Oryctolagus cuniculus: one gene and its partner. The protein of the gene in region 2 interacts with the protein of the main gene of each other region in a biochemical or structural test. Links are inferred from orthologs where the notes say so. Each region holds a gene or a part of one and is shown on either strand. Other genes may lie near its edges.

Region 1 (3,645 bases), on a different chromosome or scaffold from region 2:
GGGCTGGCAGAGCTTGGATTTAGAAACCTGAGGACCAGGGAAGGCGGGGCTGTCTGGAGCATGGAGGGGGTGGGAGGGAGGAGCCCAGCCGAGGGAAACTGAGGCAGCCATGGGGTCAGGTCTCTCCCTTAACTAAAAGCATCAAGAGACAAGATGGACACAGGGTTGCTGTCGTGGAGCCTGGGGCAGGCATGGAAGGCAGAGGAGAGGAGCCACCAGAGAGAAAGGGGCAGAAGGGGGCAGGGGATGAGAGAAGGGAAGGCTGAGGCAGGGGGGCCTGGGGGGGATTGCGGCTTCCAGCCAGCTCTGACAGAGACCCTGGCTTCTCTTCCCAGGGAGCCAGCAGCTCTGAATTCAAAACCCACTTCCATCCTTTATTCGCTGTGTGACCCTGAGTGCCTTATTGACCTCTCTGAGATTTTTTCTTTTTCTAGAAAATGGGGAATAATATCTCCATTCGCAGGCTGGTGGGGAGGAATGAATGAAATTTGGCTGTGTGGCCGGCGCTGTAGCGTAGTGGGTAAAGCCAATGCATGCAGTGCCGGCATCCCATATGGGTACCAGTATGAGGCCCGGCTGCTCTACTTCTGATCCAGCTCTCTGCTGTGGCCTGAGAAAGCAGTAGAAGATGGCCCAGGTGCTTGGGCCCCTGCACCCACATGGGAGACCCAGAAGAAGCTCCTGGCTCCTGGCTTCGGGTTGGCCCAGCTCCAACCGTTGCGGCCATTAGGGAGTAAACCAGCAGATGGAGAACCTCTTTCTCTGCCTCTCCTTCTCTCTCTTGTAATTCTGACTTTCAAATAAATAAATCTTTAAAAAAGAAGAAATTTGGCTGTAATTTTCTTTTTAAGATTTTTATTTATTTGAAAGGCAGAGTTACAGGGAGAGAGGTGGGAGACAGAGAGAGAGAGCTTCCATCTGCTGGTTTACTCTCCAAATAGTCCCAACGACTGGGGCGGAGCCAGGACAAAGCCAGGGGCCAGGAGCCGGGACGTCTTCTGGGTCCCCCATGTGGGTGCAGGGACCCAAGCAATTGGGCCATCTTCTCCTGCTTTCCCAGCTGCATTAACAGGGATCTGGATTGGAAGCAGAACAGCTGGGACTTGAACCAGTGCCCACATGGAATGCTGGAGCAGCAGGCAGTGGGTTTACCCACTATGCCACAACGTCGTAATTAACCCTGGGCACTGTGGTGGACATTGTGGTTCAGAGGGTTAAACCACAGCTTGGGACACTCACATCCATATCAGAGGGCCTGGGATCGAGTCCCAGCACCTTCCTATCTAATACACCCAGGAAGCAGCAGACGACGGCCCAAGCACTTGGGTTCCTGCCACCCTTGTGGGAGACCTGGATGGAGTCCACGACTCATGGCTTCAGCCTGGCCCAGCCCTGGCTGTTATGGCCATTTGGGGATTGAGCCAGTGGATGGAAGATTTCTTGATCTTTCCCCTACCCGCACCCCCATCACTCTGCCTTTCAAATAAATAAATAAATGAAAAAAATAAATAAATCTTAAAAACTAAAAAGCACTTGGTACATGGCAGGGATCCCACAGAGTCTGGGCCTGGAACAGTGCAATGGTGAGTGCAGAGGACTCGGGTTGGGGACATGGTCAGACAGCACAAGGGACTTCCAAACAAACAGCTGAGGCTGGAGTTGGATCTGTATGAACCAGAAGGGCCTGGCTGGCTGGCCCGTGGCAGAGGAGTGGGTCTCGTCACACGGGAGCCAGAGAGGCGAGCCCTGCCCGTGGGAAAATAGAGCAAATGGACAGAAAGCTCCTGGGAGAGAGTTTTAGGTGGTGTGAAAAATGCGGTCGTTTTTGGCAGAGAATGAAGGCAAGAGCTTAATAGGTTTCCTTGTGGAAACATTTTGAGGGTAGAGGGAACGACCACTGGGGTCTCCGTGCCATAAAGTGGGCTTGTAAAGGCTTGTTAACCCAGCTGGAGGTGGGGAGGGGGAGCAGCAGAGAGGGGAGGAGGAGAGCGAGTGAGCGAGTGAGCGAGCGAGCAGGAGGGAAATTTCCCCAGCCACATTTGGGTGGTGAGAACAGCAGGCTGTGGAGGTTCTAGGATGCTGATGGTTGATGGACCTTCTACCCGCCACCGATGCAAACCCCATGAGGCCAGAGCCAGTGCAGGGGGCAAAGCCTCCCCCCTCCCGCCCCTGCCCCGGGCCCAGGCTTCGGTCTGCTGGGTGGTGAGATAAGCACCCACAGTACAGGGAGGAGAAGAGCATGCCTGGGGTACACCAAGGAGAGGGGGTTGCCCAAGGGACAGGCGGACTGAGGGGGCCATGTCTGGACCTGAGACCAGGCCAGCGGATGGGTTTAGACTCCCCAGGCCTACACCCTCATTCCCAGTGGGCCTATGCTTCCCACCGGCCTCCAAGCAGGCAGGAAAAAGCCCCTCGCCTAAGGCAGCAACTGAAGACTGGGGCGTCCAACGTGGACTGAGACTCATGACTGGAAACGCACGGAACTCTGGACAAGGCTGGAGCTGAGGGGCCCGGACCCGCTGTCCCTCTGCCTCCCTCATCCTCCCGCTCTGGAAGGCAGGGTTCACCCCTCTTCAGGCAGCAGTGGCAACAGTCCCCCTGTCCCCTGCCCCCCATGTCAGCCCATGGTAAGGATGTCCCTGCTGCCCTGGCCGGAGCTGGGGGGAGGGGTGGCCTCAACCTCCCAGGATCCCCCAAGGTCAGTCTCCAGGGCAGCCCGGATTGGATCCTCTTGCCCCTCCCCCAAGCTCACGGAAGGTCAGTGGCAGCCATTGATTTTGCAGTGGCTATTTTTAGCTGGGCTTGGCATCAGCTTCTCCTCCTGTGCTTGGCCATGCTCTCCTACCCCATGCTTCTTTGCTTGGGAGCTGGGAAGGAGCAACCCCTGGGGGGATCCCCCACCAGGTCCCCCTCCTCCCTCTGCACCCATCCCTCACGCATTCTCATTCTCGGCTTCTCTCTGCCTCCCATACTGGAGCAGCCCCACTTCTGGTGACCATGCTATAGGGGAGGCAGGAGTTCCTGCCCTGAGGCAGAGCACTTAGAAGGCCTCTAATGGGCATGCTCCCCCCTTTAGCCCCCCCCCTTCCACCTCCCTTCCACTCCTCCCTCCTCTCCCCGCCAGCCACCCTCTACTCACTGTCCAGGCAGGGCTCACACACGGTCTGATTGGCTCCACAGGGCTGGGCCACGCCCTCGCCCAGGTTGCAGGCTTTGCAGCACTCGCCACTGTGGGTGTACAGACCCGTGGGGCATGCTTCCTTGGCACCTCCGAGGGACACCTGGGTGTGGCAAGATCAGAGGGTCAGGCTGGAGAGAAAGACGGGGGATGTCTTGGAAGGGATCAGACGCCCCCCCCCCCCCCAACGCCTTCTATTGGAACCACCTGGGCCAGGATGAGCTCACCAGGCAGGCATTAGGCACATCAAAGCCAGTGGGGAAGTAAGACAGTGGGGGACAGTGCACCCTGCAGGCTGTGAGGCGGGACCAGGTCAGAGCCTGGGATGCTGACCTTCTGCAAAGTTCATGTTGGGGTTACAGCCACCCCTGGAGCCCACAGGATACACCTGCGCAGGTTGCAGCCTGCACAGGCCCCCAGCCGAGGGGGCGAACAGAGCTGAAATCTAGCCCAAACTCCACTCGCTA
Region 2 (3,745 bases):
GCACCCAGCACTCACCAGAAAGTAACGTTGTGTGATTTTCTCATCATTTGAATTTCAGCAATGATGAGAAACTCCCCTCGGGCTCCAGCCCTGCCCTGCCATGCCCTACCCTCCCTACCGATGTCGGCAGCTGGGGCCCCCTTCCTGGCCAAGGCACAGCTTTCTCCCAGAAAGGGAATGGGAGGGTGAAGCCTCCTCCCGGGTTCCCACTGGTCCTTGGGGTGGGAGGCGCAGCAGAAAGCGAGAGCCTCATTCCTTGCTAAGGAGTAAGTGTAGGGAAAGAGCCACAGCCACTAGGGTGACCACCCCCAGCAGGCCCAGTTCGCTAGGGGGCCTGGAGTAAGACGGCTGCCCAGGGAAGGCAGCAGTACCTATGGCTGCTTATCAAGTCCTCCGAGGTACTTGTCCGGTTCTATCCAGACGTGTGTTTCCAGGCCCAACGACCCGGCCTTCCTGTCTGCGGTGCCTCCTAACTGGCTGCTCTTCCAGGTGTCCCTTTTCTTTCCTGCCTACAGATGTTAGGATGCAGATGAGGGAGGAGTTTGGCCGCACGTGGCACGAACCCCTCCCCTTCCCCCTCCCCAGCAAGAGGGACACTCACTGCTCCTGAGAATCCATGCCAGATGCACTGGTCCTCAGCCCCCAGACCACTCTCACCCCGGGGGCCACCAGTGCTCCCTGGACCCCTGGGAATACTGCCATCCTGAGTTGGCACCAGGTGCCCACCTTGGCTATGACTTCCTCAACAGCAGAGGCCTGACGGCCAAAGGCAGCCTCTCCGCGTGCCTCTGCACAGGGAGCAAGAGTTCAGGCCAACCGGCGGACTTCACCGTCAGCTTCAGGAGGCTCAAGACCCCCGAGGGCAGCCCCTGGAGGGCCCTCCATCCCCGTTTCTGAATGTGCAGAATGCAGCTGGCCATGCCTGTGGTGGGGGGAGGGGCCTGGCAGGGCAGTGGGTGTGCCCAGCGGATGGAGCCAGGACAATTCATCAAGTGCCTTTTCTCCAGGATTTCCACTGGCCTCAGATGCCAGAGGGGGCAGAGACACCCAGGAGAGCACTATTTTGGTTTCCAGCTGGGAACGTGCACTGAGTTTTCCTTAATACCCACAGCACCCAAAAGGCTTTGCTGTAATACACGTTAACGCACAAAACACCCATAAATTATCCTTCAAACTGTTACAACTTCCAACCTGGAACAACTTGGAAAAACCAGCCTAGCAAGCAGGCTCTTTTTTAATCTCTCAAGTCATGAGAGAAGAGAAAGTTCAAGCAGAAAACACCTTCCACGAGATTCTCAGAGATCGGGGGGGGGGGGGGGGGGGAGAAGAGCATAAGCAAGCAGAGCTAAGTTGCTTGTTTATGTTGGCTCAAAGTTGTAGCTCCCTGACCCCTGAGTCCTCTCTCTCCCGCCCCTCCAGCCTCGCTGCCTGAACCCACGGCGCTGCCCACCCCAGCCTGCCGTTGCCAGCTCTCCCACACCTGGCAACACACAGCTAGAGGTGAGGCATGTGACCCAGGGGCAGGGCTGAGCCTTGGCGACCTCCCGAGGATGTGCAGCGCAGATGCTGAACCCCGGCACTTGGCGCGCAGGCTGCCAGTGTCAACCCGTGGAGGACCCCAGGCCGGACCCCCAAGGCCTTCTACGACGCGCGGGCAAGCCCTGAGACCCTCGCCCTATTCCTTGCACCAGCTCCAGCGCTCCCTGGCCCGCTCGTCCTGATACCTGCGGGCAGTGAAGCACTTTAGCCACTCCGGCGCCCGGAGCCCTCCGCGGCGCGGGCCACCACTCGCCAACCCCGGCGCGCTTGCTGCCCGCGCATCCCTCTCGCCACGCGCATTCGCTCTCCCTCACTTGCGCGCTGTCCCCTTCCGGCCCTCGAGCTGCTCCCAGGCATGGCCGTGCGGCTTCTGCAGGAGCCAGGTGGCCTCTCGCACTTCTGGCCATCCCGGGACCGTGCCCCAGGACCAGAGGGAGCGCTGCGCCCTTCCACCCGCCCGCCCGCCAGCCAAGGGTCTCGCGCCCTCTAGGGACACTCCTCTCGGGGGTGCCCGGAGAGCTCGCCCGACCGGGCTCCAAGCACAGTCTCCCGGGGAGCCCCGCCGCCCCGGCCCGCCAGCGCCCGCGCTGCACCCCTCTCGGGCTCGGCTCGGGGCAGCCTGACTCACCGCTGCGCTCCCCTCGGGCTCCCAGCGCTCTCTGCTGAGCCGGAGCGCCGAGCTGCTCCAGCACAGGCTTCTTGAATTCTTAGCCCCTCCTCCCGGACTCCTGAGTCACACCCGCTCTTAATTCTGCACCCCCACCCCACCCCTCCCCACCCCCAGCCCCGCACCTGCTGTGGCCACGCCAAGATGCCCGGCTGTAGGGGGTCCTGAGGACGAGCGATCGCTCTCTCCCGGGAGGGCTGGCAGGGCCAAGCCGGGGGAAGGATTCAGACCTCCAGAGGTCAACGAACCTCCGGGGGTCGAAGGGAAAGGCGCCGGGGTGGGAGCTGGCGCGCGGCCGAAGCCGGGCTGGGGCTTTTCTGGCGCTCCGGGCAGGGGTGCCAGCCCCCGACGCCCCTGAGCCGGGGCGGGGCGGGGCGGAGTTGCGCAGCGCTGCCCTCGCCGTCCTGCCCTGCCCCCGCGCGCTGCCGGCCGCCCGCGCCTCCCTGGTCTGCGCCACTTGGCCCTCGGTGCCCCAGGCGTTGGCTGCTCCCGCGCCCTGTGGAGGGGCTAAGCGAGCACCCGGGGGAGCCGCGCGGGGTGCAGGATGCCCTTGGCTCCTTTGCCACCAGGGCGGGCAGCAGCTGCCAGAGCCGGTGCTAGGCTCTGGGGGCGGGAGCGAGGTCGGCGTGGAGTTAGGGTCAGAGGACCTTAGGCGTCAGAATGTAGACCCTGGGCCTTAATTAAAGACTGTCCAGGGTCCCCAACCCTCCTGTAATCACAGGTGGGCTTGCAGTGTGTGCCGGATGCCTGCGTTTTTCTGGGTCGAAGATCCGCAGCTTTTGTTGGTTTTGCAAAGAGTCTTTGACCTCAAACTGATGTAGATGGCGACCCTGCCCACAAGCCCCCTTTATGCACACCTGAGGTGAGGCGGCCTTTCCAATACTTTGGGGTTCACGGCCTGACGGGGCTTTTGTCCATCGGGAGCCGGCTTGCCCTTCAGCTCAGGCCGTTTCCAGCCCAGCCCCAGGCTAGCCGGGGAGAAATACCCCTCAAACCAGAGTTCTCACCAGTGGGCATCATTAACCAGAATAACACGCTCCGGAACTACAAGTCTTCGCAAAACTGCATCCCTGCCCCTCCCTCCCTGCCGTGAGCTTGCCGGATGCGTTCGCTTACGGGCTTCGGCAGAGGCATGCCGAGTCCCTACCCTGTGTGGATGCTGCAGGGGAGGAATGGAAGCGGGGAGAGTGCTGGAGAGGGCGGAGGAGGGCTTGCGTCTCCCTGAGTTACTGGTGACTTCACACCTCACACCGGGCAGCACAAGCCAGAGGCAGTGCAGCCCAGCGCGCGGAGATCTTGGCGAGGCCCCGGGCTCCTGGCGGAAGTGCAGGGTGGCCGGTCTCCTTCAGCCTTGCCTGGGCATTGCCGATGCTCTTGGCTTAACTTGGCCTGAGGTCTCTGCTCCTTTCTCTCCCCACCTTTGCGCCCCCCCCCCCCCCCCCGCCGTCCTAAATTCAGGCCCTTTATTCCTGCGGGGACAAGAATGAGGAAGGAAGGAAACCTGAGAATTGGAACTGAGCGTGAGCTTTGGGGTGTCCT

What was found. The genes of interacting proteins can lie anywhere in the genome.
Region 1: the proteins of NGF (region 2) and NGFR form a complex in vitro, tested with the Homo sapiens proteins (2 studies listed by BioGRID and IntAct, with this or other methods). The link is inferred for Oryctolagus cuniculus from reciprocal best matches to the Homo sapiens genes NGF and NGFR.

Annotation. Positions count from the first base shown.
Region 1 is NC_091448.1:25,538,397-25,542,041, reverse strand, and holds part of NGFR (tumor necrosis factor receptor superfamily member 16), read right to left. Parts: intron 3,282-3,645; coding exon 3,140-3,281; intron 1-3,139. UniProt on the Homo sapiens protein: Low affinity receptor which can bind to NGF, BDNF, NTF3, and NTF4. Forms a heterodimeric receptor with SORCS2 that binds the precursor forms of NGF, BDNF and NTF3 with high affinity, and has much lower affinity for mature NGF and BDNF.
Region 2 is NC_091438.1:55,015,852-55,019,596, reverse strand, and holds the start of NGF (beta-nerve growth factor), read right to left. Parts: upstream 2,351-3,745; 5' UTR 2,332-2,350; intron 2,256-2,331; exon of another isoform or gene 2,168-2,255; intron 1-2,167. UniProt on the Homo sapiens protein: Nerve growth factor is important for the development and maintenance of the sympathetic and sensory nervous systems.